Linked DNA regions of Coturnix japonica. The protein of the gene in region 1 purifies or fractionates together with the protein of each later gene. This does not show direct contact. Links are inferred from orthologs where the notes say so. Each region holds a gene or a part of one and is shown on either strand. Other genes may lie near its edges.

What was found. Proteins that work in one complex are often made in the same cells at the same time.
Region 2: the proteins of DCP1B (region 1) and BAG4 purify together in Homo sapiens (affinity purification with mass spectrometry; 3 studies listed by BioGRID and IntAct, counting the BioPlex papers as one, with this or other methods). This does not show direct contact. The link is inferred for Coturnix japonica from reciprocal best matches to the Homo sapiens genes DCP1B and BAG4.

What each region holds. Positions count from the first base shown.
Region 1 is NC_029516.1:51,556,138-51,559,637, forward strand, and holds part of DCP1B (mRNA-decapping enzyme 1B), read left to right. Parts: intron 1-1,238; coding exon 1,239-1,367; intron 1,368-2,132; coding exon 2,133-2,969; intron 2,970-3,500. UniProt on the Homo sapiens protein: May play a role in the degradation of mRNAs, both in normal mRNA turnover and in nonsense-mediated mRNA decay. May remove the 7-methyl guanine cap structure from mRNA molecules, yielding a 5'-phosphorylated mRNA fragment and 7m-GDP.
Region 2 is NC_029537.1:3,645,694-3,649,642, forward strand, and holds the start of BAG4 (BAG family molecular chaperone regulator 4), read left to right. Parts: upstream 1-1,149; coding exon 1,150-1,371; intron 1,372-1,448; coding exon 1,449-1,529; intron 1,530-1,740; coding exon 1,741-1,974; intron 1,975-2,291; coding exon 2,292-2,516; intron 2,517-2,828; coding exon 2,829-3,335; 3' UTR 3,336-3,949. Other genes in the region: U6 snRNA-associated Sm-like protein LSm1, read right to left, coding at 1-156, 227-342, 898-966, 1,106-1,151. UniProt on the Homo sapiens protein: Inhibits the chaperone activity of HSP70/HSC70 by promoting substrate release. Prevents constitutive TNFRSF1A signaling. Negative regulator of PRKN translocation to damaged mitochondria.

The sequences.
Region 1 (3,500 bases):
TTTCAGTCCTAACTGTCTGCTTACCTAGTCTGCATTTTAATCTTCAGTTTGCATCATTTTTGCATCAGTTTGTCTTTGAGGATGTTATGTGTCAAAGGCTTTGCTAAAGTCAAGCTAAACGATATGCACTGCTCTGCCATTGCCCGCTGAGTCACTCATCTCCCTCTAGAAGGCCATGAGATTGATCAAGTAAATCCATTCTGGATATTCCCACTCACGTTATTTACCTTAACATGTTTCGAAGTGGCTTCCAGGAACATTTCTTCCATCACCATCCCATAGACTGAGGTGAGGCAAACTGGCCTGAAGTTCTGCAAATTCTCCTTCTTGCCCTTTGAAGATAGGAGTGATACTTGTTTTCTTCTAGTCCTAAGCTGTAGATACCTTTTAAAAATATATATTAAAAAATCTCAGTTTCTTGGTTTTAATCATATCTAGATACAGTGACTTCTTAAGTAGTATTTTCTTTTATACTGACAATAGCATTTCTTGTACATCCATTACGTTTTAATTTTGTTGTCTAGATCCTTGTTTTGGGTACAGTGTAAACAGAACTATCTTATTCACTTTTTCCTATTCCATATTTTCTTTCTCTTTTCATGCAGTTCTTTCTGCACATTTTTTTTTTTTCTCCTGAATTAAATGATGGCCTCTCTATGACTACTTTTGGTCATCTGTCTCTGCCTGCTCATTTATAAATGCAGTTATTAATCATGTCATATTTAATAGGGAAACATGCTGATCTACAACTTGATTAAATCTTTAATTATTTTTCTGTGTGAGTATACAAGTTCCCATGTTTGTGGAATGTTTAAGTAAAATAGTTTGGCTTAAAATTTCAGTATTTAGCAAAAAGCATTTTGGATACTCTTTGTGTGCACATAAATCCCTGTGTCTAAACTACGTGAGACTATTAAAGGAATAGCTGATTCCCAGTGCAGGAAAAATGGGTCTGAGTTTGTGCTAAGTGCAGGACAAGCAAAAGATGAGAACTGAGTTTCAAGCTAAAGGGAAAACTTGTGCTCAGAAAACCTTGAAATTGTTTATTTTTACATATGTTTTTTGATTTTAGAAAGCCAGGTTGTAGTTCTTTCAACAGCATAACAACTCATAATCAGTGCCACGGCCGTCATTTTTGGTAACCGAATACCCAGCTATGTCTGGATTTTACTCTGGTAAAGAACTAAGAGGAAAAAGTACAGTAACACTTAGTAAAAAATACTGATTTTCTGTTTCAGTGCAAGACCTGTTCGGAGCCAAAACAAATAACTAGTTCCTCTGCAATCTGTAACAACCCCAACCTAATCAAACCAATTCCAGTGAAGCCTAGTGAAAATCAGCATCAACGAATATCTCAGCAAAGCAAGGTAAAGTGCTCTGTGTGTGTTCTAGTGTTGATGTAATTGAGCAGCCAACTAGGAGTACTTACTTAGATCATAAGGTCAGTGCAAGAATTTGTGGTAAAATCACAGTAAGGATTATTTTTTAAATGCAGAACTGATCTATTTATAAAACAGTCTGCTTCCATCCCCACCGATCTGAGTATTTAAGTTCCAGATGTACCATCCTGATGCAGCAGTGAAAAATAAATAAAAAATAAATAAAAAACCACCTTGTTTTTCAGTGTTGGGATGCTGCTTTGATCCCAAGCTGGTGTTGTCAGTTGCTGAACTGCATTTTTTGTGTTCGTTGTCTTCAAGGGAATTTTAGGTAATCTAAATAAGAAAAGTCTTTTGATACATCTTCAAACTATACCATATTGCAAAAGCTGAATTCAGTCAGCTGTGACAAGGGGGTGCGCAAGTAGTGACCTTGCTCTGCACAGGGGGAGGTTTTTGTTCTTTATTAATGCTGTACGGATGGCAGGAAGGGTAGATGCTCTTTTATGGTATTTAAAGTGAAACCACTGCTATCTTTCAGATTCATTTTTTTCTCCCACATTAGCAGCTTGACAACTGTTTTCTTGCCCTTCTGATGCGACTGAACTATTAGAAATTCTCTTGGGAGAAAAGAGCATAGCAGTTTTCTTGGCTTTTTCTTGAATACTTCTGGCTAAATATTGTCACCACCTAATGTGATTTATCATGCATGAGATAACTACGCCTAAGATTTTTTTCTTTGTCCCTTCACAGAATGCGGATCCTGAACCACAACACTTGTCTTTGACAGCCCTGTTTGGAAAACAAGAGAAAACAGATGTCACAGAACCACTTAATAAACAGCATCAAGAGAACCTTCCTGTTAGGCAGGGTGTGGTACGTTCTCTCTCCTATGAAGAACCTAGCAGGCATTCTCCCTGTGCAGAGAAACAGCTTTGCCCTGCTATTCAGAAGCTCATGGTGCGTGGGACAGACCTTCACCCACTTGCTGAGTTTCCTGAGAACCGACTCTGTGAAAATGGCAATATCCACCCTGTGGGTGAGGCTTTCACAGGACTCTTCCAGCCTGTGACTTCTCATGGCATTACAACATCTCACGTAGTTCAGGATGCTGCTGGTACTCAGAGTTTGTTACAGAAATTACAGAGTCAGTCAGGGTTGATGACCAAAATGGATCCCAGTGCAACAGGATCTGTGAACTCAACGGCTTCTGTGTTCAGCAGGACTCCTGCTGCTGTTGGAACACCAGCAGCACAGATGAGTAATATGACCCAACCACCTTTGGTATATTTCAATGGTTCCCTGCCAGGTCAGACTTTAGAGTCACAGACACTTGGTAAAGAACAGTCCAAACTTCCTAGACAGCCAGTTCCTCTCTCTGGCAATCAAACAGCCAATTCTGGGGTGATATCACCTCAGGAGTTACTGAAGAAACTCCAGATAGTGCAACAAGAACAGTTGCATGTATCCAGCAGACCAACCTTGGCAGCTAAGTTTCCTGTTGTTACTCAGAACACCAACACCTTGAAACCACTGGATTCCTGGATAGAAAAGACACCGGGTACAGAAAAGCAGAACTCTCTCTTTCAGGTAAATAAATAATTTCAAAAACAGTTTTATCAGTTTTTATAAGCTTTTAAGGGATATTCTCTATGTTTCTTTTTGACCAGTATATTCTTCTTTCTGCCTTACTATGTGTTGTTATCTTGCACACATGATTCATTTTGCTGGTGATAGTTTATCAACAGCGTAAGGAAGTTCTAATTTACCAAGCAGTGATATCTTAAATACCAAAGAAGATGTCTCCTGTACATCAGTAATAGCAAAAAATACTGCAGTATTTATGTAGCTCTTCTTTGTTTTTCAGACAAGTTTGGAAACATCGTGTAGGTTTCAGTGGCCACACTTTGTAATGTTTTAGGTATAACAATATTTTTTCCTCACAAAATTAGTCATAACTTTTGATGTGAAGGTAAGAGTTTCCTTTTGTGCCAGTTGCTAAAAGTGCTTACAATGCTGAAAGGCTGCTTTCTTTCTCCCAGCAGGTTAATAAAGTATTTTTATATTGCTGAATTCATTATCTTGGACCATAACCTCACTCCAAGCTGTTCAGTAGTTTTG
Region 2 (3,949 bases), on another chromosome or scaffold:
CGTGTCAGCCCTGGGCACCGCCAGGCCTCTCTCCTTCAACGCCTGCACCTTCAGCTTCTCCGACTCCTGCTTGGCTTGCAGCTCCAACCTTTGCTCCTCCAGGATCTCCTCGATGGAAACCTGCTGCAGCAACGTGTCGCTCTCCTTCTCCAGGTCCTGCAAAGCAAAGAGCTGTTGTTAAGCAGAGCTGCAGGGTGAGGGGCTGCAGGGCACGGGGCTCACTCACAATCTCCCCCAGCAGCACCACGTTCTCCCCTCTCACAACGAAGATCCCTCGAGGGATGTCCCCATATTTCTTGCCCACGTGAATTCGCTCCACTGTCTGATGCAGCACCAGGTTGGCTGTGGGGATAGAGAAAAAAACACCCCGTTTTTAACCAGTTTTTTACCAAAACCACCCAGTTTTTCACCAAACAGAGCACCTCACCTGAAACAACCCATAGCCTAAAGCATAGGGAGCAGCTGGATTGCATTATAGCACTATAATCCTATATGCTGAGCATCCCCTAAACAACATGATCCCCCAAACCCAGCCACTATAGGACCCCAAAGCAGCCACTACCTATAGCTGATAAAGGGATCCCTGGTGCTATAGGGTAAAGAATGAGGGGCTCAGCTATAGGCACAAGTGAATGGGGAAGGGGGGAAAGGGGGGTAGGGAGAAGAGGGGTAAAGGGAGGTAAAGACTGGGGGGCTCAGCCATAGGCACAAGTCAATGGGGGGATGAACTTAGTGCTGCCCTAAGGGGGGAATATAACATGGGGTGGGGGTCCAACATGACAAGGGATGGGGGAACCACAAACTGGGTTCCTATCGGAGCCATATGGGTTCTATTAAGCCCTGATCCGGTGTCGTTCCCGGTGCTGCCCCCCCTATCCCCCCCCATTATATCCGTACCGAACTGATCGATGCTGCGTAGGAATCCGATCAGCGTCCGGCCGTCCCGCAGCAGAACCAGGTGTTTCTCTATGGGGAAAGGGATCAAGCGGGGGTACGGAACATCGGTCCCAATGGGAACCAAGGGGAAAACCGGGGTCCCCCGCGTCCGGGTCCCGGTTTTCCCCTTGGTTCCTTATTGAATGAATAGAACCTCGGTCACACTCACTGTCAATGTCCTGGATGAGGCTTGCAGTACCCGGCATGTAGTTCATGGTGGCGGAACCGCCCCACGTTGGGCGGTACTTAGCGATGCACTGTCCCTTTAAAAGCGGCGCCGGTAGTGCGAGCGGGGCTGCCTTTCATTGGTTACATCCAGGGGTCCTCGCATCCTATTGGTCGCATGGTGGGGGCCTTTTATCCTTGTGTCGCGCTGTGGGGTGGGCTACAGCGTGCCGGGTTGAAAACATGGAGCACCGCGGTCGTACCGGGCAGGTAAAGGGGGGGGGGGAACCGAGCACAGCCCGTTATCCCGTTATCACTGCTCCATATAATGGGGTTTTTCCTTATAGGAGCCACCAGGCCCCGGCTTCAACCCCGGTTATTGGAGCCCAGCGTTCGGTTTTGGGGCCTACACCGACGGAGCGGACTCGGTATGTTGGGTTTGGGGGATGAGGGTCCATTTCCATCCCCCTCCCGTCCATTAAGGCTTTGACCGAGCTGTGCTTCATTTCTATGCCATAGGATACAATGGGCTTCAAGCCCCACTTGTTTCCTACAGCTCAGTACAGAAATAACCCATTAAATATCCTAACACACATTTCAGCTCATTTTCTTTCTCTTTTTCCCTTTTCTCCTCCCCAGGCTATGGACTCACCCTACACCAACGGATCCTACAGCGCCCCATACCCTCCCCATTACACCTCACTGCCACAAACACGAACCTACAGCACTTCAGGTCCATCCTACAGCACCGACAGCTCAGCCCCATATCGACCCCCCCCTCCTGCCCCTCCCTGGGGCTGTGGCACACAGGACTGCCCAGCAGAGGGATGCTCAATGCGCAGGCAAAAGGCTGCTGGGTATTCCCCACCGCAGGTAAGAAACCATTTAGGGTGTGCACAGCAAAGCGAGAGCTCCTGTGCTGCTCACCCCATAGAGGGTGAACCCACAGTGCACCCTAATTGGGCCCAAATGGCTTCTATGTCCCACCCAGCTCGCCCTGCTTGCTCTTGTAAGAACTTGGAGTTGCCCCTTTCTGCTGGGAGCTCTGAGGTCACGAGCTTTGGAGCAGAAAGCAGCAGCAGTCCCAGTGCTGGGGCTCATCCCAGTGCTGGGGCTCATCCCAGAGCTTCCTTCTGCCACAGGCATTGGGAGCTGACTTAGGACTTACATCTGTCCCCCTCTCCCCACAGACCCCAGGGATGCCCGTTCCTCAGTATCCATATGGAGACCACAGCCCCGGGGCCAACCCACAGCCCAGGGCTCAGGAGGAGGCGTGGGCTCCCCCTCACTATGGGGTGCAGGCACGGTATGCATGGCCTGCAGCTCCAGCACATGGGAATCCATTCCTCTCTGAATCACAACCACCCTGGACTGGCAGCAGGACTGCAGCTCATCCTCCTGTGTGGGACTCGAAGGTACAGTGATGCTTTAATGGCTCTGACACAAAGATTCTGGCTGTAGCCAGAGCTCAGCTCATGCTGCCTTCCCCCGCAATACACACATGCAGCTGCTCAGTGCTCCTTTCTCCAAGCACAGTTTGCTTCCAGGAGACAAAAACAAAGCAGCGGTTCTAAGTACTGCCAGCAAAATCACCTGCTTATATATCCAAACTGCCATTGAAGAAAGCACTGGAGATAGCAGACCCTGAGAGGCGGGTCTTGAAGTGGAGCAGATCTCATTTAATGCCTCTGTAATGTAGACTCTTTTTTTTCCCCTTCTGATTGTAGGAATCTGCTTATGACAAACCTGATCCGAGTGCAAACCAACACTGCTACTATTCTGACAGCAATCACCAGCACCCTGGGACAATGAATGACCACAAACCACCCTCCCTGCTGCATAACTCCAAGTCATCTCCCTCCAACCCCAAGGTACAATACAGTGCACAGCCCCAGATGTACAACAGTGCAACTCGGAGGCAGCTGGCTGGGAACCAGGAGGCAGGTTGCAAAGCTGGCAATCACACTGCAATGAATTCTGCAGCCATCCAGCCAGAGATACAGAGGATCCTACAGGTCACAGAGCAGGCTGAAGAGTTAGAACAAGAGGTGGATGAATTTGTAGGGAAAAAGACAGATAAATCCTACAGGCTTCTGGAGGAGATGCTGACCAAGCTGCTGTTAGAACTGGATTCCATTGAGACTGGTGGGCAGGATGGTGTCCGACAGGCCAGGAAAGAAGCTGTCCATAGAATTCAGGCCATACTGGAAAAACTGGAAAGGAAAGGATTGTGAAAGCAAATCAGCCACAATGCAGCCTGTTGTGGAGGTTCCAAAGAGTTAATCCAAATCTCAGCTCTTTCTGCTAAGCACTACTGATAATGAGAAAGCAATAAGACTTGATTGAAAAGAAGAAACAACCCTAAACCCACAGGAAAGCCCAGCCCCGACCAACAGCTCAGCATTGGACCAATGAAGAGAAGATGAAAGCAGCAAATTGAGTTGTTTGCTCTGGGATGTGAAGAAGCAGCACCACCTGAAGGTGTTTAGCACTGGGTTGTCTGTGTCCTTCATCCAGCAAGAAGAAAATCACTGCACAAAGTTCCCCAAACCGGGTCCAAATCCACCCAAATCCATGGTACCTCGTGGAGCCACAGCTGCAGCACTTGTCACATGCATCACCATAAATGAAGGTCCATCAGTGCGTGTGCTTTCAGCTTCAGATCCCTTACCCACAAAAGCTGGTTTGTGTCATCCCGGGGTTCTCTTTTTGTTTCCAATGCGCTCCCTGTAGCTCTGCTGATGTGAAGCTGTTCTGTGATGCCGTGTGGATGTGGGAACATAGCCTGGAACTCTGAGTTTTTCACCTGGAAAAGCCAGTTGCAGGCAGAGCCGTGCAGCCCTGGACA